Arabidopsis thaliana: one gene and its partners. The protein of the gene in region 3 interacts with the protein of the main gene of each other region in a pairwise test. Each region holds a gene or a part of one and is shown on either strand. Other genes may lie near its edges. The genes, in order: SOS3, CBL9, CIPK1 and CBL3.

The links.
Region 1: the proteins of CIPK1 (region 3) and SOS3 interact in binary tests that used the Arabidopsis thaliana proteins (3 or more experiments, as listed by UniProt).
Region 2: the proteins of CIPK1 (region 3) and CBL9 interact in binary tests that used the Arabidopsis thaliana proteins (3 or more experiments, as listed by UniProt).
Region 4: the proteins of CIPK1 (region 3) and CBL3 interact in binary tests that used the Arabidopsis thaliana proteins (3 or more experiments, as listed by UniProt).

What each region holds. Positions count from the first base shown.
Region 1 is NC_003076.8:8,237,958-8,245,117, reverse strand, and holds SOS3 (Calcium-binding EF-hand family protein), read left to right. Parts: upstream 1-1,674; 5' UTR 1,675-1,987; exon of another isoform or gene 1,988-4,890; 5' UTR 4,891-4,938; coding exon 4,939-5,029; exon of another isoform or gene 5,030-5,131; coding exon of another isoform or gene 5,132-5,147; coding exon 5,148-5,230; intron 5,231-5,307; coding exon of another isoform or gene 5,308-5,320; coding exon 5,321-5,380; intron 5,381-5,467; coding exon 5,468-5,576; intron 5,577-5,684; coding exon 5,685-5,737; intron 5,738-5,856; coding exon 5,857-5,937; intron 5,938-6,042; coding exon 6,043-6,155; intron 6,156-6,258; coding exon 6,259-6,337; 3' UTR 6,338-6,635; downstream 6,636-7,160. Other genes in the region: AT5G24275 (En/Spm-like transposon), read left to right, coding at 1-168.
Region 2 is NC_003076.8:19,129,108-19,134,296, forward strand, and holds CBL9 (calcineurin B-like protein 9), read right to left. Parts: upstream 3,198-5,189; 5' UTR 3,001-3,197; intron 2,770-3,000; 5' UTR 2,621-2,769; coding exon 2,542-2,620; intron 2,159-2,541; coding exon 2,076-2,158; intron 1,753-2,075; coding exon 1,693-1,752; intron 1,598-1,692; coding exon 1,489-1,597; intron 1,396-1,488; coding exon 1,343-1,395; intron 1,222-1,342; coding exon 1,141-1,221; coding exon of another isoform or gene 1,084-1,140; exon of another isoform or gene 1,053-1,083; coding exon 940-1,052; intron 853-939; coding exon 789-852; 3' UTR 533-788; downstream 1-532. Other genes in the region: LIL3:2 (Chlorophyll A-B binding family protein), read right to left, coding at 5,111-5,189. UniProt on the Arabidopsis thaliana protein: Acts as a calcium sensor involved in abscisic acid (ABA) signaling and stress-induced ABA biosynthesis pathways. Contributes to the regulation of early stress-related CBF/DREB transcription factors.
Region 3 is NC_003074.8:5,988,417-5,995,006, forward strand, and holds CIPK1 (CBL-interacting protein kinase 1), read right to left. Parts: upstream 4,586-6,590; 5' UTR 4,212-4,585; coding exon 4,020-4,211; intron 3,924-4,019; coding exon 3,861-3,923; intron 3,663-3,860; exon of another isoform or gene 2,800-3,662; coding exon of another isoform or gene 2,785-2,799; coding exon 2,713-2,784; intron 2,610-2,712; coding exon 2,502-2,609; intron 2,426-2,501; coding exon 2,345-2,425; intron 2,246-2,344; coding exon 2,066-2,245; intron 1,984-2,065; coding exon 1,768-1,983; intron 1,677-1,767; coding exon 1,572-1,676; intron 1,482-1,571; coding exon 1,365-1,481; intron 1,274-1,364; coding exon 1,211-1,273; intron 1,119-1,210; coding exon 1,044-1,118; intron 956-1,043; coding exon 893-955; 3' UTR 508-892; downstream 1-507. Other genes in the region: AT3G17500 (F-box family protein), read left to right, coding at 1-82. UniProt on the Arabidopsis thaliana protein: CIPK serine-threonine protein kinases interact with CBL proteins. Binding of a CBL protein to the regulatory NAF domain of CIPK protein lead to the activation of the kinase in a calcium-dependent manner.
Region 4 is NC_003075.7:13,407,888-13,412,928, forward strand, and holds CBL3 (calcineurin B-like 3), read right to left. Parts: upstream 3,184-5,041; 5' UTR 2,737-3,183; intron 2,282-2,736; 5' UTR 2,225-2,281; intron 2,143-2,224; 5' UTR 2,112-2,142; coding exon 1,988-2,111; intron 1,823-1,987; coding exon 1,740-1,822; intron 1,615-1,739; coding exon 1,555-1,614; intron 1,481-1,554; coding exon 1,360-1,480; intron 1,240-1,359; coding exon 1,106-1,239; intron 989-1,105; coding exon 876-988; intron 779-875; coding exon 721-778; 3' UTR 535-720; downstream 1-534. Other genes in the region: CBL7 (calcineurin B-like protein 7), read right to left, coding at 1-86; AT4G26580 (RING/U-box superfamily protein), read right to left, coding at 3,818-3,964, 4,055-4,412, 4,500-5,002. UniProt on the Arabidopsis thaliana protein: Acts as a calcium sensor. CBL proteins interact with CIPK serine-threonine protein kinases. Binds calcium ions. Binding of a CBL protein to the regulatory NAF domain of a CIPK protein lead to the activation of the kinase in a calcium-dependent manner.

The DNA of each region.
Region 1 (7,160 bases), on a different chromosome or scaffold from region 3:
GCCATGGATGACCCAAAGCTGCCCGATGGAGATCCCATACCGGGTTTCAAGGGCTATGCCGTGAACATGATTGATTTGGCTCCAGAGGAGCTCACTGTTCAAACTTACTCAGGATACGGGCTTAGAGAGACTTTGTTCTATAATCTCTTTGGGAATTTACAGGTATAGAGACCCAAAAGCAAGTTAAAGCAGCTCTTCCACACATCAATGGTGGTGGTGCAGTCTCTTTAGATGGTTTTATCGCAAAAGATAACGGATTCATATATTCCGGGTGCAGGTACTTGACCTTTTCTTGATCCTTGTATCCGTTTTAGTTCTTGAATTTAAACTGTAAAGCTCAAAACTCGAGTTTTATTCCTTGCATCTGTATTTACTGCGGATGATATGATTTATGGTTTTTGGATCAGCATACCGGAATTTCATTTCCCGATTACACTAAAGGAGGATGAAGAAGTGAAGCTGAGAAAAATGGAAGCAGCAAGAGATAAAGTGAGAATGGCAGCGAAGAAGATAGAGGAGGAGAAGTGTTCAATGCGTAAGGTAGACAAGAAAATGAAGAAAACAAATGAAAAATATCACAATGTCACAAACTCATTAGAGCTAATCCAGTCTCAGTCTTTAGAGTAATGAGAGTAAAACTGGACCTAAAACGATTCAAACAGTTTGTTTACCTGTTGGTTATCGGTTTGGTTTTTGTGTTTTTGGATTAGTCACTTTTGTTCTGAAATTTCATTTTCTTTTTCGGTTAATGGTATTTTGTTCACCAATTTTCTATTTCAAAAGTTTGTTTTTGATCTTGCTGCTATGATCTTTTTAAATAACTAGATTTTTTGAACCATAACGAACATATTATAAGAAAATAGCCATGGTAGCAAAACCAAACTTTTAAAATATCACCAATCCAACAGACAAAAAGAGAATACTAGTGGGCAAAAAGTGAAGGAAAATTTATCATTTCACATCGTAATTTTTTGTTTAATTGAAAAAGTGCAAATGAAATGATGGGTCAACTATAAATAAAATAAAGATTTTGTAATTGAACTAAGAAAATAAAACTCTGTGGATCATGACGAAAGTTAGAAAAGTTAGGCACATGTAGTTTCAGTGTTGTCATGTTTTTTTTTATGTAAGAGTAGGAAGCTCTCTTATAGGACGGGTATGATCAGCTGACAAGTTCCAAACCCTATAAAAAGTGATGTACATTGTGGAATCTGGTAGCTTGACGATGATGAATGTGATATATCTCTTTCATAGTTACGTTTTCATGGTAATTGTTAAAATTTTCATAAACAATCGAGTTCATTTTTATCGGAATCATAATAATTACTACAAAAATGAGCATACGTATAAATGTAATTATCAATCATCTGTAAGAAAATTTGTATTAGTTAGTTTAAGAAATATATTAGCGACTTTTTTTTTGGTCACAAGAGTGTCCATTTTATTTATATCAAACATCAAACTAAGGTCCAAGACAAACACATCAAGCGAAGGTGTAAGACAAAATTTCTTATGAAATATATAATTAACTTTTTTAAAATTGGTGTATTTTCAGAAGTGAATAATATTTTAGGTTATTTTTATATCAAAAACTGCCTCTCATATTTATAATTTTTTAAAAGATTATTTGCCAACAACCACCACAAGTGTCAACAAAAGGAAATTAAAAAGTGAGGTGGGACTTGAAAACAGTACTACTCTAATATTTTTTTTGTTTGTCATAAATAGAAGGTCGAGGAAACATTGCTATATAGTTTATAGTACACGATATAAAAATATATTTTCAAAACCGACATAACATCGGGATCCATCTGCGCATGGACGGACACAAACCTAACCCGATGTTGGGAAGCTCGTCACAAATTTGTTCTTCTATTTAAATAACTCTCATTTTGCCCTTTTCCTCTTCCAACACCATTATTCAATTATTCAAGATCGAGACAAGTGAAGAGTCGACAAGAACATATAGAGATTCATCCATATCTTGGTTAGTTATTTTTGATCTTATTTTTTTTGTTTCTTCGATTCACCATTGCTGAGAAAATCTTTCATCTCTATCCAATGTTTTTTTTTTCTATCACTTCCATGTTTTGGTTTTCTGTTTCGTAATTTTTAGTCCACCTCAAGATATATGTAAAGGAATTCACTGTTTTCCTCTCTCTTTTTTTCGAAATGGAGGTTTATGAGCTTGAAGTTTATCCCATCTTGGGTTTTCTTCAAGAAAGAGTCAAAATATGTCCGTGTTTCCAGGAATCTTCTGATAAGATTTAGTATAATTCGGTTAAATATTAGAAAAAACAAACAAACCAAAGCAAAACCATTCTTTAAAACTGACTCAATTGAGTTCTTTAGTGCTATAGACTGAATTGAACCGTTTGATTTTTGTTTTTCTTCTAATTGAGTGTATAGTTTCCAACATTCCATTAATCATTCAATGGAATTTGGCTTTGGTTTTGGTTTCAATCGAAATCAAGTTATTTCAGATTAGAGATTACAAATTGGATCATATCCGGTTTGGTCCATCTCGGTTCGATTTTGGTGGGTGTTTAATTAGTTGGTAGCCATTAGATATTTAGAACTGTTTTTTTGTTTCTTGTGTCACTTTTGGTGATTTAGAGTCTAAGGAGAGGAGATGGCAAATTTGATTTCTTACTAAAAATCAAAGACCACACCTAATAAACTTATTTATAGCAAATAAATTATAAAAGTCAATAGCTGCAAGTTTTTTTTTTTTTCATTTTTACTATTTAAATACTTATAGAGAAAATAATTAATTTTAAAACGTCATATTGCTGCGTGGCCGGTTTGATTAAACAACATTTTTGTTATTAATTATACAAAAAGATCGCGAGAAGTAAACAACAAGATGAAAATACTGCTTCTAAATTAGATATGTCTAAGTTTGTTTACACGACGTACATTGAGTATGATTACGTATAGATCTAAAAAACAGGTAATGAGAATTTGGAGGCTCCACACATAACAAAATCAAAATGGTCCATAAATTAATACATTAATTAGAAATGTCATAGAAAAGCCAAATGCACCAAAACCTTCCTTAGGCATTAGTTGATCATTATTAATGATTCATTAATTAACCAACTAGGCTCATGTAGTTTTCAAATATATACTATATTAGATTTGAGGTTCCAAGTTCAAGATTCGCTTTGCCTGGTCAAAGACAGGCTCTGATATGTACCAAATTAAATGCTAGTATGGTTGAGGATTTTACGTGGCTTTTTTGGAACAAAACGAGATTTAAATATACTATATAGTCTCTAGATATTAGTGTAAGTGTAATCAAGCCCTTTTTGTTTTATTTATTAGTAAAACACATATAAATTGCCTACATTGAAAAAAGCAACAAAAGGTTGTCTCAATCTCGTGATTATTGATTTTTGATAAAGCATCACTTTTTAATGTGGTCCCATGGCCATTCATATTGTAACTCTTCTCTTAGTTCTCTATCCTTTTCGTTCAAAATCCATTCTAGTCTCTCTTCACTTAAAAATGTACTCACCAAAACAACTTAAATCATGTTGGGTCTGATTGGTAACACAAAACTTTAGCTGTTAGCTGGAGCGGTAAACTGTTACGAAATAGTACAAAACTGTCTAAAAGAGCTGTACAGAAAAGTTTAGAATAAAACTTTTTGTAACGTTTTTGATAAAGTTTTTTTGAATGGTAACTGTCAAAGTTGTACAGTTTGTACAACTTTGATAATGAGTTACCATTCAAAGCCGTTATTTATTCAACCTATCCGGCTTCTTATTATGTTCCTAAACTTACGACATGGTTGTATTACTCGCTTAAATGTGTTCTTGTGATTGAGTTGGACATAGGTTCAAGCTTATTTGGAAAAGAAAAGAAAACATCTTTGTAGATATTTACTAGAGTACATTGACTGATTCATGTATATACGTGGACCAACGTCGATTAGATTTGATATTGATCCGGTATTTGTATTTATGTATTATCTATATGTATGCATATATCATAGGAGACTTTGATCATTTATCTATGTTATTAGGGATAATAAAATTAGGAGTAAACTAATTATCTCTTATATCTATACACCTAGTCATTAGCGTGGCTAATACGGCGACTTGCCTACACCTTCTGTGAATTATATAATATTTGGTTTCATTACGTTTATTGTGAATCATTACTAAATTATAGATTAAATAGGGAAAACGCTGTTTTTGTTCTAATTTTGGCTACTTCTGTTAATGAATTGATTGTTTAGGGAGAGCTTACTAGCTGTCGTGAAAGCTACAACTATTTTAATGGCTAACTTTGCCACCTATATCCTATGTATTTATTATGTAAAAAAAAAAATGTATAAACCAATGACATAATCGTTCGTATAGCCGTCGACTTCTATTGTATATTTGCTCAAACGTCGACCCTTTCAAAATTTTAATATCGATGTTTGTCAAACTCTTGCAGATTTTGATGAATTCGACGCTAGATTGCCTTTAACGAAATTCAAATGTTACATATACATAGACGATATATATATACATGCATTAGATGTACATGATTAGTGCTCATCTACATTAATATTTCATGTATGTATATGTAATTAAATATTGAATTTCATTAGAAACATTTTGGTAATCTCGTGAGTTTGCCAAAATATGTTTACTTTGTTTGAGTTTGACCACAAAAAAAACACTAGAAAAGTCAATAACGTGACAAACTAAACAAGTTGCCTATTATTAATTGCACTCGATCTTAATTGGTTTGTTCTAGGACCATTTTTAGTAGAAGTAAAACCAGCGAAAACGAATGTAGGATTCAGTCGAAGGGTGTTTTATAAAATCATCAAATTATTAGGAACAATGAAATATCTGTAAATTAACCAAGATTATTTGCGTTTGGTTGTAGCGTGAGAAAAGCAAAGGCTAATAACAGTTGAGAGAAGGGTGTGTTTGTATGGGCTGCTCTGTATCGAAGAAGAAGAAGAAGAATGCAATGCGACCACCGGGATATGAGGATCCCGAGCTTCTTGCATCCGTCACGCCATGTTAGTTTTTAGTTTAAAATCTTATTAGTAAGACAATCTTTAAATGTTACAATAGCATGTTGTAGAGTTTGGTAAACTTTTTCAAATTTTATTTTACTTGTAATGGGAGGGACAATAGTCACGGTAGAAGAAGTGGAGGCTTTGTATGAACTGTTCAAGAAGCTAAGCAGCTCAATTATCGATGATGGTCTTATTCATAAGGTTTCTTCTTTCACTCTAAAAGGTCCATATGTAGACAGCAATTAGGTAATCTATATAGCTTAATTAGAGTTTAAAAGTTTGATGTTGCAGGAAGAATTTCAGCTGGCTTTATTCAGAAATAGGAACCGGAGGAATCTCTTCGCTGATCGGGTACATATAGTAACTACCTAGCTAGAACAAGTGACATTATTGAAAACATATGTAAATTTAAACAAAGTTCTGTTTTATAATATGCAGATATTTGATGTATTTGATGTGAAGCGAAATGGAGTGATCGAGTTTGGTGAATTTGTCCGGTCCTTAGGTGTCTTCCATCCAAGCGCGCCGGTCCATGAAAAAGTCAAATGTCATTCTTCTAGCCCCAAAAATTGTTTCATATTCATTCTATGTGAATTTACTTGATATTCTTTTCTTAATTGGCTAACTAACAAAGAATTTTCTCATGAATTTGCAGTTGCTTTCAAGTTGTACGATTTACGACAAACTGGATTCATCGAGCGAGAAGAAGTGAGTCCATTTACGGATACTTTGTTTTGGTACCCTCCAGATTAAACAGTTTTACTCCACTAACGTTTATGTGTGTTGATCTAACATGTATATACCATAATGAATTACATTTTGATTAGTTGAAAGAGATGGTAGTAGCGCTTCTTCACGAATCCGAACTAGTTCTTTCCGAAGATATGATTGAAGTAATGGTGGATAAGGTAATCACTCCCACACCGATGCACATTTGTTTACTAGATATTAATTCCAATACTGAAGATGATATGATAAAGAATTTATAAGGAAATGGTGGTATATATTTGCAGGCTTTCGTGCAAGCAGACCGCAAAAACGACGGAAAAATCGATATAGATGAATGGAAAGACTTTGTATCCTTGAATCCATCGCTCATCAAGAACATGACTTTGCCATATCTAAAGTGAGTTCATAATTTACACCGTGACCAACTTTGATCCAAACCAACTGCTTTGATTGTTGCATTGAATCAAATTGACTAATCAGAAGATTCTTGGTAAATGTAGGGACATAAATAGGACGTTTCCAAGTTTCGTTTCATCTTGTGAAGAGGAAGAAATGGAATTGCAAAACGTATCTTCCTAATATAAGCCATGCAAGGAAAGATAAATATACATAAAACGAATATTTTTGTACAATATCTTAAAAGAGGAAGATAGAGATGTAAGCTAGGATTTGGAAATAAACCGATCTTGATAACGATATTGGACTTGCCTTGTGTACTGTATATATTTAGTTATTTACATAGCGACTCTCCATCTCACATACATAATTACTAATTAAATATTTACAAATCTAGTCTATTATTGCTTCATTGTTGTATATACCAAAATATATGATCCACCTTTTGCGGATATTCATATTTTTGTTACATGAAAATATTCGTGTTTTTTTTAGAATAACAATAAAAAATTTGTACACACATGGTTTATTATTGTAGATAATATTAATATATATCAAACGAAATTTTAAAAGTAGATGATTTATGAAAATAATTTTTGCTTATTTTAATTAGTTCTTGAGTAAAATTATTTATACATTCTAGATATTAAATAATGTTGAATTTTTAATTGAATAAACACTTTATTATATATAAAAATTGAAAAACAAAGCAAGCCGAGGAATCTCTCTCTAATCTATCTCCAAGACGGACCAAACCAGTTTTAGTTCTATCTCTCAATCTCTCTGATCAGCTCCATTTCCAATGTAAGCCCACCAACTTCAACTCTAATCTCCATCTTCCTCTTCCTCTTCAAATTCGTTTAGTTCAACAAGTTCCCATCTTTCCAGTGTCAATCGACGATTCCTTTTTCCGTTAATACGCATGTATTTGATTCTTATTGCTGAGGAATTGAAGAACCATTTTGATCATTGTTGTACCCATTGATGTCAAATTCAAGATATAATT
Region 2 (5,189 bases), on a different chromosome or scaffold from region 3:
ATACCATGCCATTTTTCTTTTTTTAGATATGGACAACGTCCCACTATCACGCTCATCTAGATTGTGCCAGGGGAAGTGTCATCTTCCGTGAGAAATTTCTTTTTGGTATCAACTCTTGAGTTTCATACAAATGATTCTTGTCTGAACTCTTGAGTTTCAACTAAATGATCCTCAAACTTGGCTTTTGTAGTCAAAGAACATGGAGGATATGTAAAAGCGTCGCCGTACAGGGGGATTAGAGAGAATCACTCCACAGCATGGAATGTCTGAATCCGCTTGAGTTCTTTAGCTACTGGGATCATCATTGGTCTGTCTTCATCTCAAAGCCGGCACCACACACGTCAATTCGGATTTATCGGTTACAATAAATTCAGGTCTGGTTTGATTATAATTTTAGTTTCATTTTGGTATTTTTGAAGTTTTCAATTCCCTTAATAATAATAAATTGATTTATATGGCTAATTTCTTCTGTCTAAGCATATTTGACTTTGATTTCTCGTTACATAAAACATAAAGTGTTGGAATAATTTATGAGCAAAATCAAATCTTTAATCAGAAATTGTGGTTTTATATTAATCTTTTCGTAGAACTACAACTTGAGTATTCAAAACTGTTAAAGAAAGAGAGCCAAAAGTAATCGCAATACATGAAATTGAAATCCAATAGACTAAAAATTCCAAAGGAAATAGAGCTCGATCCTGCTATATAACATTGTTGGAATCAATCTTCTTTTTATTCTTGGTCCAGCCTACGACTTGGTCTCTATAAACCAGCTTGTCTTGTCTCTTTCACGTCGCAATCTCGTCCACCTCCGAGTTAAATACGAAACTCGGAAATGTCGTCGTTATATCCCTAAAATTGAGTTTTTAAGTCCTCAAACTTGGAAAATGGCACCAAAACTGGCCAAATAGATGGAAGTATCATAGTAAGGAGACATACCTGAGATACGGAAGAGTCATGATTTTAAGCAAAGATGGGTTTTTGATAACGAAATTGCTCCATTCTGTCTTATCAATCTTTCCATCCCGATCCACATCTGCGTCCTCAAATGTCTGTTCACGAAAAGAAAAAAAAACTCGAGTTTCATAAAACAGTCTTTCTTTTGACAGAAAACAAACTTGTAATAGACAACAAGTAAACCTGATCAAGTATCATCTCTATTGTATCATCAGCCAGTTTCATTTCAGATTCGCAGAGAAGTGCAATCAACATCTGCTTCACCTGCCAAAAACGCATACACAATTATGATTACTTATAGATGATGCAGAATCCATAATACTGAAAGTCTTTGAAACATAGATTGTTTGGGAATGGAATGTGAAGATATAGGACCATTGTTTACCTCTTGGCGCTCAATGAAGCCTGTGCAGTCCATGTCGTAAAGCCTAAAGGTAACTGATATATGAAATACAGAATAACATGAATAAAAGTACAGCAAGGCTTTAGAGAAACGACGATGGATATAAACTCGTTTATGGGTCAACTTACAGTCTGTTTTCTCCTCTAGGGAAGCATTAGGATGGAAAACATTGAGTGATCTCACAAAGTCTCCAAAATCAATTACGCCTTTTCGTTTAACATCAAATAAATCAAATATCTGGAAAAAAGAGCATTACCATTAACTACTTATAATAGAACTAATCGTTACGACTAACTACAAAGTTACTAAGGCCAAAGAAACTTAGAATTTACCCTATTGGCAAACAAATTTTCTTTCTTTCTGTTCTTGAACAAAGCAAGTTGAAACTCTTCCTGCATAACAAGTTGGTCGAGAAAATAAGTAACAATATCCAAGAGTGGGCCAAGAAAACATCAATTTTTATAAGCAAACCAATATAAAAAATGGAATTAAAATTCAAGTCAACTATCATCAACACAGAGACTTGGTGAGCAATAAGGAGCCCACAGCTCAGCATGGAGATTCAATAATAAATTTGTGAAAGTCAAGAAAGTTGACAAATAATACGGAATATGGATAATGGTGCAATGAATATTATTATGTCACTGTACATCACGCATTCAAGATTCTCCCATGAGGTGCGAAATAATCAAAGGGCTATGAGATTTATCATTACCTTGTTTATCAAGCCATCGTCAACAACCGAGCTGCTTATGCTCTTGAACAATTCATACAATGCTTCAACTTCACTAACACTAACTAGAAAAACAAACAAATAATTAGCCACACTGCGAGATTTCTCATCAACATCATGTATATCACCAAAACAAAAATCGAAAGTGATGGTTCTTGAAAACTTTCTCTGATTAAGATTCCATTTGAAAGTAGAAGTAAACTACACTAATGATCCAAGAAACTATTGAAATAGGTTTATGTGATGACTTAAGTAACAACAAGCATCATTTAACAAAGTTGTAGATCAAATAGATTATGAATGAAAGAACCATTTTTCGGATTCAATAAATGGCGAAAACAGATTCTCATATCAGTTAACAATTGATAAAAGAGAGATCTTTATGCTCATGCTCTTTGAGAATAAAGCAAAGAAGAGAAAACGAAACGTATAGTGCAAGTAAACTTACAAGCAGTCTCAGAAGCAAGCTTCACAGGGTTTTCGTGATCGGGAAATTCTCTGGCAGCCGTGGAATGGAAACAACCCATTTACGGATGACAAGAGTAAAACGAAGAAGAAGAAGCTTGTTCCGGAGGTTGATAAAATCGCCAAACTCTACTACAATTTCTGAGATTGTGAAAAAGCTTGATTTCTGATATTACTCACTCCCCATCATCATCATAAGCATCTTTAAAAACTACAATGATTCAATCAAAAACAAAACCCAACAAAAATTGAATTAAAAGACGAACACGATAATTGAATAAGTATAAACCCTAGAAAAAATAAGCAGCAGCTATGTGGCAATCGAATTCAGATTAACAAAATTTTGAATATTAAATCGGAAATTAAACAGGTAATGTAGGAGCGGCTCGAGAATCTCCGAACCCAGAAACTGAATGGTGAAATCGAAAAATTGAGCACTTACCACCGAGAGAACGGGCTCGCCGGCTCGGTGAGAGAGAGAGAGGAAGGGATTTTGATTTTTGAGAAACGAGAGAGAGACGAAGAAGAAGATCTCTGACCACGATGGTAGATGAATTGATCGGACGGCTGAGATTAACTTCAGACTTTGCTGGGCTTTTTTTGTTCGTCAGAGGCCTCCGATTGGGGAAATTATGAGAGAGTTTGTTTATAACATGATCGTCGCACGTGTGAGGGTCTGAACGCGTGTGAAACACATCCTTGTCATTTTTACCTCTTTTTTTCTACCAACCCCATTTTTATTTTATTTTTATTACAGTGTGGGAAGAAAACAAAGCCATTATTGTTGTTTGACATTTTAGTTTCGAAATTTCAACTTTCAACTTTCCTTTTTTATTGGTTAAGAAAGTTAATCATTTTTACAAGTTTTCTTACAATTCTGCAATGATTTTGTTTTGTTTTTGTTTTTTTATTAAAAGAAAAATATTTAGACTCGAATTTTGTTTTTATGTAAGTTTATAACTGTAAGAAAAAAAAAGTGTAGAGAGGTAACTAGTACTTGTAGAGTCAAGATTTAACATACTCAAAAGATACTAAGAATGATATTTATTTGTATAAGATATAATTTTCAAATTGGATCTTTCATTTTCATAATCCATACAGATGTCAAGATCTCATAGTCTTCAAGATCTTGCAATAAATAAATATTAATATGATAACCCAACTAGCAAGGGGACTAATTACTGTATTTATCTATATATTCAAGATTCATGTAGAGTGTGTTTGATAATAATTTCAATATGGGTCATATACCTTTTGGGATAAACGAAGAATTATAATAATTCTGGTCACATTTTAGTAGTCTAATCAATCACGTAGGACAAACAAAAATCCAATAGTATAAAGGCGGTCTAAATAAGAATTATGGATTAACATAATTACTTTTATATAAACCATAAGACATGATCTAATCATGTATATTATCAAATTTTGAAACTAATTAAGTACGTACGCCATCCAACAATCCAATAATGTAAACTATATAATGTTCGCCTAAAAAAAAGAAATGGATTAGCATATCCATAAGACATGGCCAAATCATGCATGTTACGTATATTAAATTTGAAACTGGGATCCTGGCTCTAGTAAGAGTGGTTTATAATTTTATATTGGGTTTAGAATTCCAAATTAAATGGTCAAATTCTTTCATTCCAATACAAGCAGAAACTTTTATGATAGTAAAAAGATTATGAGAAGACTTATGAGGTGTTAAGAAAGTGGGAGATGTATTATGAGGAGGAGAGATTATGAGTATAGTAAAAAGATTATGAGAAAAAAGATTATGACAATAGTAAACAAGAAGGTCCATACAGTATCCATGTTTTTCAAGAAAGTGGGAGATGCCAAAGTCCTGGACCTAATATTTTTGTTTTAAGTTTTGATAACTAACTAATTTTTTTTAAATCAGACACAAAAATAAACATAGACTGTTGATATTTTAGAAAATTAAGATCTATTAAAAAAATATTGTATTTTCTTATAGATAAACAAAAAAAACTTTTTTTTTACTAAAAGACTAATATCAAACTGTCCTAAGGTCCCTACTAATTTTGGGCCGGTGGTCCTGACAAGTGACAACAGTTTAATGGTCCATTTTGTACTTAAAATTGAGTCAAATTAGTTGCGGCAATAAGAGCAGAGCAGTAATGTGTTACACCCTTAAAGGACGTTAGTACTGAAGCCCAAATTCTTTGGAGGTTGGTTGGTTGGTTGATGAAGTGCGGTTTTGATTAATTCACAAATATGACTTACTTGATGACTTTTCACAAACATCCATCTGGAAACGCTACTATTTGATGATGTATTAACAGTAGAAAGCATATTAAAAAAAATAAAATCTCTTATTGATTAAATTATCAAGCGTCAAAACGAAATAGGTCTGCTTTACAAGTCAAAGACCTTCGATACATTATCTTTGAGACTACTTCATAGAGATTTTTAAAGCAGAAAGATTACAAAATCTGAAGATCAGTAGTTCAGTAGAGATAAACTTTCACTGATTCACAGATTATTGCATAACAAAAAAAGGAAAATGAAAGATTGTAAGAACTTGTTCACTTCTTTGAAGAAACTGTTGATGAATCTGGCTCTTTCCATGCAGCTTGCCATTGTTTGTCATATAACGTAGTCTCA
Region 3 (6,590 bases):
CATTGGTGGTCGTGCTATGTTATCGTATGACAGTTTCTTCATCGACAAGGAGAAAGGAATGGCCTTGCTATGTGGGTTGTGAGACAAGTAACAGACTTGCGAGCAAGAACCTTGTATACATTGTTGGGGAGGACCGTGAATACACAGAAATCCATTTTGGCGAATGGCCTAAGTTCATTCCTTTTATGAACTCATGTGAGCCGTTTTATTTTCAATTATGTTCCAAGTTTGGTTCAGTATTAGTCGATACAGGTAAGGACGTAATTTCTTCAATCTCCTTTTTTTGTTTATTCGTTTTTGCGTTTTTGTAGTAAAATCGTTTGATTAATCTATGACTAGATATATTATTTTGATTCCTGGCTTATTTGCACTACATTCAAGTTCCAACTAAAACAAGAACAAGTTGTGAATTTGACTAACTTTAAAACTACAATTGTTACATTCCAGGACGCTAAATGTTGATAGGTCACATGACTCATGACTCTTGAGAGTATTTTATGAGACGAAAGCAACATAGCATAATACTAAAAATTTATATACGTAGATCGGTTGGTGCGGAATTGAATGATGTACAGATACAAACTAAACACATGTATATTATTTACAAAAATAATGAAGAGATTTTTTATGGGATCTTTTTTGCTAGTAGGCAGATTTGCCACACCAAATAATAATAAAAACAAATACAAAGGTAGTGAATAAAATCTCTAATTCTTGAGGAAAGATCTACGCCACGGTTTATACTTAAATGCAATTACTATTTGCACTAATCATATAAATCGAGCTCCTTTTATATATACTTAAGATAATAAATTATATGAACATGGATGGTGTGTTCCATATGATAAATTATTAGAGCTATGTATATCTCTTCAGCCGAAAACACCAACACCTAAGTTACTATCTCTTGCTCCGGCGAGGATGTGCCCACGTCTTTTAATAGTCTCTCGTACAACTGCACCAACCCCAATATCAAACATAAACATTTTTATCTTTGATATGTGTTTCTTCAGTCTAATTAAGAAATGACAATAGTGGCATACCTGTCTATATAAACATGAATCGCCATAAGATTTTCTTAGCTCAACCACGTTCAGTGACGGCTTTATCTCGAAAACCTGATATCATAAGAATTTCTTCTATTAGTCAAATAATCTCACTAAATAGTCTATTGAACAGTGAAATAATGTTTACGTAATAGTTAATATACCTCAGCTGTTACTGATAAACCAACTTGACCTTTCTGGTTTCTTTCTTCTTGTTTTACTCTTAACTGAAACAAAATACAGTTTAAAGTTTATAAACCTACAGATTTGAAATTCCAAGTTGCTAAGGAAGAGGAAGACCATGTTGTGAAGACCCACCTTGGCATGTTTCTTTTGTACACTGAATCCCATTTCTGTAACGGCTGTTTCGATTTTCTCCAGTAAATCTTTTGCTGAGCTATTTGAAGTGAATCTTATTCTCCTCTCTGATACATTCTGAGAAAGTAAAAGTATAACTCCTTTTTATTATACATTGGCTCAAGCAGAGAGCAGATCTTTGAAACAGAGTATTAGAAGATTAGTTACCTCTTGTTCAAAGAAACCGGACAGGTCAAGAAAGGAAGACATTCCGATTAACTGAAACGCATTGATGATGGTCGGTGAATCACTGCCCTTCCCTTCTTCTGATCCCTAGACCATTCAAAAGAGAGACAGAGAAATGAGGACATTGTACTTGACTCAAATGCAGTTGCGATAGAGAGTAAGGGTGGCAGATTCTTACGAGTTCTTGGATTGAGAAAGCATCATCGTCTGTGTCAACTTCTTCTTCGTCATCATCATCGGGAATTGAAGGAATGTACTCAAGTTTGAACCACTCGCTGGCTTTAATACCCACAACTGTGATCCTCGTGACTGGATTTGGATCAAGCATTCTCTTAATCATGGTTCTTGCACCCGGGGATAACCATCTTGGTATTGGTGGGTCTCCTTTACATATCTAGAAATCAAATCAATTATCAAGCTTATTTCTTCAAAATGTGTATTGAATTGGCATATATATAAGAAAAAATGAGGTTTACCTTCTGGTAAAGAACTGCAAGGTTTCTGTCGTCGAAAGGAAGACATCCGGTTAGAATCACATACAAGATTACACCACAGGACCATATGTCTGATGCTGCACCATCGTAGCCTCTGTTAGCTAAAACCTCAGGCGCAACGTAATTAGGACTTCCACAGGTTGTATGCAACAATCCGTCATCCTAAAATGCCAAAGAGAAAATTAGTTGTAACTCGAACGGATTCAACAATTATAATTCTGCTGTGATATGCTATGGTTTTAAGATGATATTTTCAAGTACCCTAAAATGCTGAGGCAGAGCACTGAGGCCAAAATCAGTGATCTTTATATGTCCCTTTGCATCAAGAAGAACATTCTCTAGCTGCAATATAGAAAAACATCAGTACACTATTCCATAAGGTTTCCATGGTTTGAAACACAGTGAGAGAATCACAGACCTTGAGATCCCTGTGGAAAACACCTTTGCTATGACAGTAGCTGATTCCATCGATAAGCTGCTGAAACATTTTTCTTCCATCAGTTTCTGTTAATTTTCCGTTGGAAACCTGAGAGTTATCATCAAAGTGTGAGTTTAGCAAAAATGACACTCGTCAAAAAAAGAAAAAAAATCTTTTTTGCTTTGAGCATAGAGGCTAGTAAGAGTCTTACAATTCTGTCGAACAATTCTCCTCCGGTAACAAGTTCCATTACCATATTAATTTTCGTTTTGCTAGCCAAGACCTGCATGATTACCATAAGGAAGAGGCCATTAGTTTCAAGGTAAAGGAACAGTGAGTTCTGAGGTAAGATGTTTCATGTTTGAGAATCCAAAAGATTAGTCACAAGAAAGAAAAAGAAACATTTAGAATTCGAATTGCATTCATATCCACAGATTACATAAAAAACACTTAGTTGTCCAAGACACGACAAAGTTAGTCACGAGCTTAAAAAGTGGACCACGTGTATCAAATAAGTGAAGATCCACAATGGTTGCTTAACCAAAAGTCACGATTAATCTCGTGTTAAATGGCAAAGAGGAAGAAGCAATCGAAATAATTAGAAGTCAACAATAAAACGCAAAGATACAGCAAGCAATGACCCATACAATAATCATCTGAAATAATACTATATGAATAAAATAAAATAAAAAGTAAAACTAAGCATAAGATCAAAGAGGGTCCACATGATAAAAAGCTTAAAAGGGTACTAAGATTAAGCAATTATATGATGATCAAGCGACATATCCTGCATTTTTCACGATAATTTTTTTTAGGACCCCACCTTTGAATTGAACAGGTCAGATTTGTGTTACCGGCCAAGCCACCATATCAAATAATGGAATAATTAACTTAATAATTATGTAAAATGATGCGGCTAATTGGCAACGTGAAAAACAAGCTAAATGAAACATGTTTGGGTACGAAACCAAATGACTTGTAAGAATATTCCTAAACAGTAAAAAAAAAGATCCAAAAAGCAAACAACAATTATCCAAGATTTGAGGTGTTTTTAATCCTCGTCAGCTCCATTTTGATAGATAAAGAAACAACAATGAAGAAATTAACTAAAAATAGTTTACTAAACCTAATCTAACAATCTAAAATGACGAATCAAAATTTGAATAACCATCCATAAGCAGGCAATAATTCGATCACTTTCTGTCATACTCAGGTATATACTAAATAAACAGAAACAAGCAAACAGAAGAATAATCAAAAATTGTTATACTAATTAAGCAATAAACCTTTTTACTTCCTAATCACAGAATCATTTCGATAATCCAAAGATGATTATACACAAAAATTTAAGATACGGACCTCATGTAATCTAACAATGTGGGGATGTTTCAACATTTTCAGAGTCCGGATCTCTCTTTTTATCTGCACAGATTCATAAGAATTGGATCTGTCAAATTACAAATTTAGTAAAAGAAGAGAAAAGAAAAAAATTAGAAATGATGATAGAGAGATGGGAACCTGTAAGGAGAAGTTGAGATCGGCGATACGAGACTTGTCGATGATTTTAACGGCGAAGGAATGACCGGAGACGGTATCTTTAGCGAATTTAACTTTACCGAAATTACCCTCGCCGAGCGTCCTCCCTAGCTCGTATTTCCCCAGACGCATTCCCTTCTCCGCCTTCTTCTCCTCCTCTTGCCTTCTCACCATCCAATCAATCTCCTATTTCAATTTATTTCCCAACAAATTAACAGACAACCAAATCGATTTCTCGCTTGAATCTTCCGATTAGATTACTATTAATTCCGTTATTGAAAGAGGGGAAGTAGATTATTGTAGCTGTGCAGGTATGTGTGTGAGGGAAGGAGATATATATATATATATATATATAGGTGTAGGTAAAGAGACGAGGAAGATTGGGAAGAAGAAGAAGAAGAGAAGAAAGTGCCGGTTGAAATTGAAGAGAGGACGCTACTTCTCTTTGTTTCCTCTTCTCTTCTTATTATATTCACTTCTTTTTATATATATATTCCTCGTTAACTATTTTTTTTTGGTTTTTGTTAGCCAGATTTTTATTGGATAACTAGAAACATATTAATCTTCACAAAAGAAAAAGATTAATCTAACAAACCATATAAGATTTGATATTATCGAAATAAGATTTTTTTAGTAGGGTACTTATCGAGATTTATTATTATTGGTCAAATAAAACTCCTATCAAATGAAATTATGTCTATGTTCATTATAAGGAGAAATTTAAAAAGGATCTTATTTCTGTCAACAATCAAAATATGGAAAATATACGCAAAGAGTATATTGATTTATCAGAATAATTCTATATATGATGTATATTGCGAATATGTGTGTATTTTATGTGTGTACTTGTATGCATCAATAGGCCCACGTCATTTGTTGCATTAGTTTTATGTTGAAATTAAATAATAATAGATGAAAAAATATATTCATAAGAACTTTTGGTTTAAAGTCAGAAAGAAACGCTACAAAAAGATTGGTGCTTGCAGTTTTATAGTTCTTGTTACTGGAGCAGTTTTGATTTGGCTTTCGGATTTTAGTTCTTAAATGTAGAAACAAACTTGTATACACATAAAAGTTCACAAGGAATCACATACTTTCCAAGTTTTCATGTTGGAGTTACTTAAAAGTTGAAGTCCAACTATGATTTCTTAAAGTTACAGTTTAGTTTTGTACCTTTGTTATAAAAGAGGAGATCAAAAGAGACCTAAACTTAAGATCAAGTTATATATACACACTACAACAAATTAAACAACGCGTTCATAACCCATTCGTTTCTATGGAAATTTTGAACTTATGACTTGGTTTCATAGACAGTAGGTCTTCATTGTCGTGGCATTTTCAGTTTAAGAGATAATTTGGTAATAAACCATTTATATACGTCGATATCGTGCATGAATTGATAATTAGATTTAAAACACTTTTTTACGATAGTGCTTTCGGTTTGGGGGGAAATAAACATGGTGCTTTCAGTTTTATATTGTTTCTGTCTTTGTAGACTAATAATATTAGTTGTAGACTTTTACAAATTTTTAATTCGCAATATAGGCAAGCGTTTAGAAACACAATCGTTAATGATACACTTAAAGTTAATATTTTTTAAAAAAAACTATGGTAATTTATACTATATTTCATGTCTCGTCCTTTGTCGGCTCACAATTAATTAAATCACATGGAACCATTCAATTTATATTTGTTTTTCTTATGCGGTTTGTGTATTTAATTAAAATAAATAAATTGTTTTTGAGAATCCAAAAGTTTCAATAAACCAGGGCCTGGGCACCAGGCTAATCTCTTGAATTTGGAAAACTCCATATTATATCTTTTTATTGGATACATAGATTATTGAAGAATGTAGTGGTTCTTAGCTCTCGTCAGTCGTCCCAACATATTTTTGGTAATGAAAAGGTCATATGTCACATGTTTCTCTACACATCTTTTTCCCAAGGTTTTTATTAAAATTTGTAGTTAGTAAATGATGTGGCTGAAATGAATAGATACTATATAGAAAAGGAGAAAAAACCAATAATTAAAATTATTCGAGTCTCTCAAACGTGTCAAAATGGCCGGTGATAGTATTGCTGCCGGCAGTGAGTAACATATTGATTGATCTATGTTATCAGAACCTCTCTCTCTCTCTCTTTTGTGTGTAGATGACTAGGTGTGTTATATATATAAATTTAAATAAATAAAAGAGTAACTCGTTCGTGGTTATATAAACTTTCTCAAGCAAATATTTTATACCACAATTTTCTCTTGTTATATTCTTTTGCTCGTGCTCTTTTAATGTTAAACTAAAGAGATATTAACCATTGATTAAGAAACATTAATATTAGCCTTTGATTCTACGTGTTACAACTCTAGCTTCCTATGTAGAGTCTCTCACTACATATACGAGCCCAATAACCCTAAAACATATTAATTAAAGAGATATTAACCCAAGATGGAACGAGAAATCATATGTACCAAATCAACAATGGTAATGGTAAACAATTAATGAAGTATTTAAAAGGAGAAGTTTTGTTTTTTCATAACAAATTTCGTGCCAAAACTCAT
Region 4 (5,041 bases), on a different chromosome or scaffold from region 3:
AACACCTCATAGAGTGCCTTTCGCTTTTTCTGATCCGTAAAGCATCCCGTGGAGTTGGAAGAAGCTGAATTTCTTGTTGAATCCATGGAGAGTCGTGTAGATAGAAACTTTTTAGCCAAGAAAGAGAGAACAAATCGATGATCAAAAAAAGAGATTGTCAACGCGCTCTGATACCTATTCAGATCTTTGAGACAGGGAAAACATATATATTAGGAAAGACCGAAAGAGTAAGTAATTTATTCCTCAAAGTAAACGTGTTTATGCAGAACACAATCGTCACTAACTTTGCTAATTACTTTGTCAACTCTAACTGACAAAGTCAACCACAAGACTAACAAATCCGATTGTTGTAATGTTGCATCCGGTTCGATCAAATCGGTGATTTCAATTTTGACTTCAGAATTCAGACTAGAGCATACCCGATCATTTGGTGTTGGGTTCTCTCTTTTTTGCTCTCTATTATCACTTCATCAGTTTGCTCTTTATTAATAGGATTCATGTCTCAAGGTTAGTAGTATATCTACAGATGCGAGGAGAAAATCAGCAATCAAAATCAGGAGTAGCAAAAATACAGATTTGTTTTCTTTACTTTTAATTCACACAAGTAACAACAAAATCTTGAAAATGTTCAGAGAGATTGAAACAAATAGACATGATACATAATCAGAAAACAAACACAATTCCCAAATTGTCTCCTCTGCTAATATGCTATTGTTTTTCTCAGGTATCTTCCACCTGCGAGTGGAACACAAAGCTCGGAAATGTAGTTGTTATATCCCTGCACACAATATCAGAGATCGGTGTTAATAATAACACAGAAAAAATTGGAAGTTGCATTGCCTAAACCTCGGATAAGTCTTGGTTTAGGAACTCACTTAAGATACTGGAGAGTCATATTCTTTAGAAGGGAAGGATGCCTGAGAACAAGGGTTCTCCACTCTTCCTTATCGATCCTCCCGTCATGTTTTGTATCAGCTTCCTCAAATGTCTGTGAAAGAAGAAACTTAGAAACCACTCTTTACTTTATTCTCAACTGCTATCATGAGTTGGCTATACAACAGTGGAACAAGAATATAGTATCGAGCAGGGTAGGAAGGAACCACACCTTGTCGATTATACTCTCTATGATTTCGTCTGACAGGTTCATGCCGGACTCAGCAAGAGTAGCCACCACCATTTGCTTCACCTCTTGCCTCTCTATGAAACCTTGCTGCTTAAGATCATATAGCTGAAACGAAACTGCAAAACAATGTTCCCGGTAACTGTTAGTGATATTTCATGGGTTACATGTAGCATGTCAACATCAGATAAATTGTATAGATGGTTTCTCAGATCAACTTTGTAAGATCAAAGACGTACAGTCAATCTTGTCTTCTATGGGAGCATTTGGATGAAAGACAGAGAGAGCACGCGCAAACTCCTCAAACCCCAGTATTCCATTATGCTTTGTGTCAAACAAATCGAATACCTGTGATTGGTACTGTCAAGTTATCTTTCAAAAAGGATCTTGGCAAATGGATAACAAAGTCTTTTGATTAAAAAAGAAGAACATACCCGGTCTGCAAACAAGCTCTCTTTTTTATTTGTCTTGAACAAGGCTAACTGAAATTCTTCCTGAACGACAAGACAGGTCAAGGAAAATCAGAAAAGGATGTCCAAAAGACGTAGCAATATGCATGATTCGTGAGGAGTATAAGTGAGTGGCATAAAAGACATATAATGATGCCCTTCCTTCATACCTTGTTTATTAGCCCATCATCAATCACAGCACTGCTGATTTTCTTAAACAGCTCATAGAGAGCCTCTATTTCACTCACGCTAACTGCACCCAAACGAGTCAATGATCAAAACACAGAAAGAAAGATTTGCATTCCTCTTAACAGAGAGCATCAACTAGAGTAATGGCAAGCCTTTGAATCATACATATAACTGGAAAAAAAAAGTGCATGGAAGTTAAAATAAGATGGAAAAGAAGTTGAGAGCATACAAACTGTCTCTCTCGCAAGAAGTTCAGGGTCACCAAGGCCTCCAGATTGTTTGTAAATATCGATATCAAAACACCGGAAAAAAGAGGAGCATACATGCTTGAAACCGTCTATGCACTGCGACATGATATATCTTGTAAATCAAAACTCTCCATGCCTGTTAAATAACAATAAAATGTAAGAACTTTCGAACCACTTGGAAGAATCTAAAGACATATGCATTTGAACAAGATAAGTACCTTTTAACCATTTCCTGGTTCGTCAAATAGGCAATGCTTTGTACACCTCAAAAAATTCTGCGATGGGAAGGAAATGAGATATAGTCAGTTATTAGCTCATCAAATTGCAAAACAGTTAAAGAAGAATTGACAGGAGCAAACAAGATTCATCATTCTCAGATCAGATCTGAATTAGACTAAAGCACCAGATACTATGAAACACAAACAGAGGAGACGCATATTATAAACGGTCGTAAACTTTATGCATTAATCTTAACTCCAGATTCATTTCCAGATTAACCAATGTATTCATGGATTAGGAACTATCTTTAAGCTAAAACACGAAACCCAAATCTAAGAAACAGCCCCAAAAAATACATGAACTAGGATAAAATGAGGAATCAAAAACACCCAATTTCACGTCAGAAATGCATCATGAATTTTGCGGGGAAAAAAAATGCATCATGAAGAACATAATAAAACTATCCAGACGGATTAATCGTCAGAAAATATAATCCTCTGAGGATCGACACCTGAATCTAATCGCGATATGAATCAGAGAAGTGATTAAGCTAAGGAGAAATGACGGATATGAGAAAAAGCGATCCAATGAGTTTTAGATTCCAAATCGTTCGGATTCAGAGATACAACAACGATGAATCTCGTTATATAAACTTGGTAATCAGCTCATGGATCTATCAGCTTGCGAAGAAATTAGTTGCTTGATTCTCAATCTCAAATTTTAACTTGTTTCCCATCGCGATTTTCCCGGAATAAACACACGAGATTACGAGGAAGCGACCGACCGCGAAATCGTAGAAAAGGGAGAAAGAGAAGAAGAAAAAGCCTTACGCCACGGCGGATGATGAGCCTTCCTTGCGGCGGCTCCGGCGGTTGAAGGTGACGGTGGTTGCGGTGGAAAACGCGAAAAAAGCTCTTATTGGGTAAGTGAGAGAAAAAAGGTCGACACGATTTTCTATAAGCAGAATGAATATATTGCAAAATTTTAAATATGCTAAGAAAAAGACCAAATTATTTTTGTTTGTTGGCGTTTTTATACTTTTTAAATTTAAAAAATAAATAATTTTGTTTATTTTTACTCGATGTTGATACAGTTGTAATAAAACTCCTTGTTACATTCACTTTCACACGTCGTCGTCTAGTGGAGCATGTGTCCATTTATGCGCTGTCTTAAACACCATCGTTTCAATAATCGTTCCTATACGACGGCGTGTCATGTTATTCGGATTCTGACTGTTGCTTTGGTCTGATTTGGTCTCTGGGTTTGAATTCGGTTTAAATTGTCTTTGGAAAAAATATTATAGCAAAAACCAGTATAAGCTTAGTTACATTAACCAACAATTAAAACTTTGATTAATGGTAAGAGAGGGACAAACTCTACTGGTAAAACAACAGATTGATCATGTTTTTTAACTTTTTTTTTAGGTAAAATTACAGTTACTGGTGAGCTACTTTGTACACAAGAAAAAAAAAGGAATGATAACGACATTCACACAAGTAAACGTGTTTAGGCGGCAACAGAAAAAAAAAAAAACACATATATGGTACTTGGTCAGAGATTCAATCTTGTGACTCATGTATTGTTTTGATTTTTCAGTTAGGGAGATCTTGTTTGCAAAGAGGACAACACGAGATGATACGAAGCCATTGATCTACGCATTTGAGGTGAAACCTATGCGAACATGGAAGCTTTCTCACTTCTTCTTTCTCTTTGTACTTTGCCAAACATATACAACATTCCTGCAATAATGAAACCGGTGGGTTTCAGTTTTGATATCAAGATTGATTTCTGACTATTTGACCTATTTCAGAATTCAAATTAGTGCTTACCGGATCATTGTTTGCTTGAGAAGAATCAGAAGTTTCATCAATGAGTTTGTATTTCCAACTTGGGAGACTGGAGATCTGGTCATCTGAAGCTCCTTTTTCCGAAGATCCAACGTTCATGTTGTAGCCGAGGAAGCTACTAACGAGAGGTACAACACAACAGAGCAGGAGGAAGAGAAGAAATGGGAAGGAGTAACAGAGAGCGTTCCAAGCGAGTAGGGAGATGCAGAGGACATGAAGGATTGGAGCATAGTGGAAAGAACCAAACCGAGAATCAAAAACCCATACATTACCTATCACAAACCATATCGCAAAGAATAGCTCCAGCGATGTCCGGCATTTGTTCATCAAATGCGAGCACCTAAAACACACACAAAAATAAGTCATTTTCCTAGAAATCTTTGCATTTTATGATCAAACTTGAAAAAACTAGATTTTTGTTAGTAACCTGGTGGTCTCTTCCCTGCTTCTTTGTTGCTGCTCAATATCGCCGAAGCTAAATGCATTTTCATGGCTAGTATCTTGCTGACGATACCGACCGTATAGTAACATAAGATTGAGCAGACATCCAACGTTGTAGCCAGTGATCCATAACCTCATCGGCCAAACAGGCCTCTCGTTTTTGGACAAAGCTAGTGTGGATGTTATCACAGTGATCTGTAAAAGTAAAGCGATGAGCTCTGATACCATCCAAGCGATAGAATTGAAAGGATTGGTGCCAAGATCGGATCTTGAGGCGTTCTGGTAATGAAAGACTCTTCTCAAGAAAATGAACCACCTTGCTCTAGATACCCTCATGGCAAGTCTCATGAAGAAGGAAGAAGATGGAGAGCTCTCCGGAGCCGTGTGAGTGTTATCATCCAGTTGCGTGGAAGCGAAGGAAGAAGATGAGGAGACAGTGATGGAGTTAATGGCTGATGATTGCAACTGAGAGGAATAACGGGTACTCATATCGGAAACAGAGAGGTCTTTGATTTGATCTCCTGAACA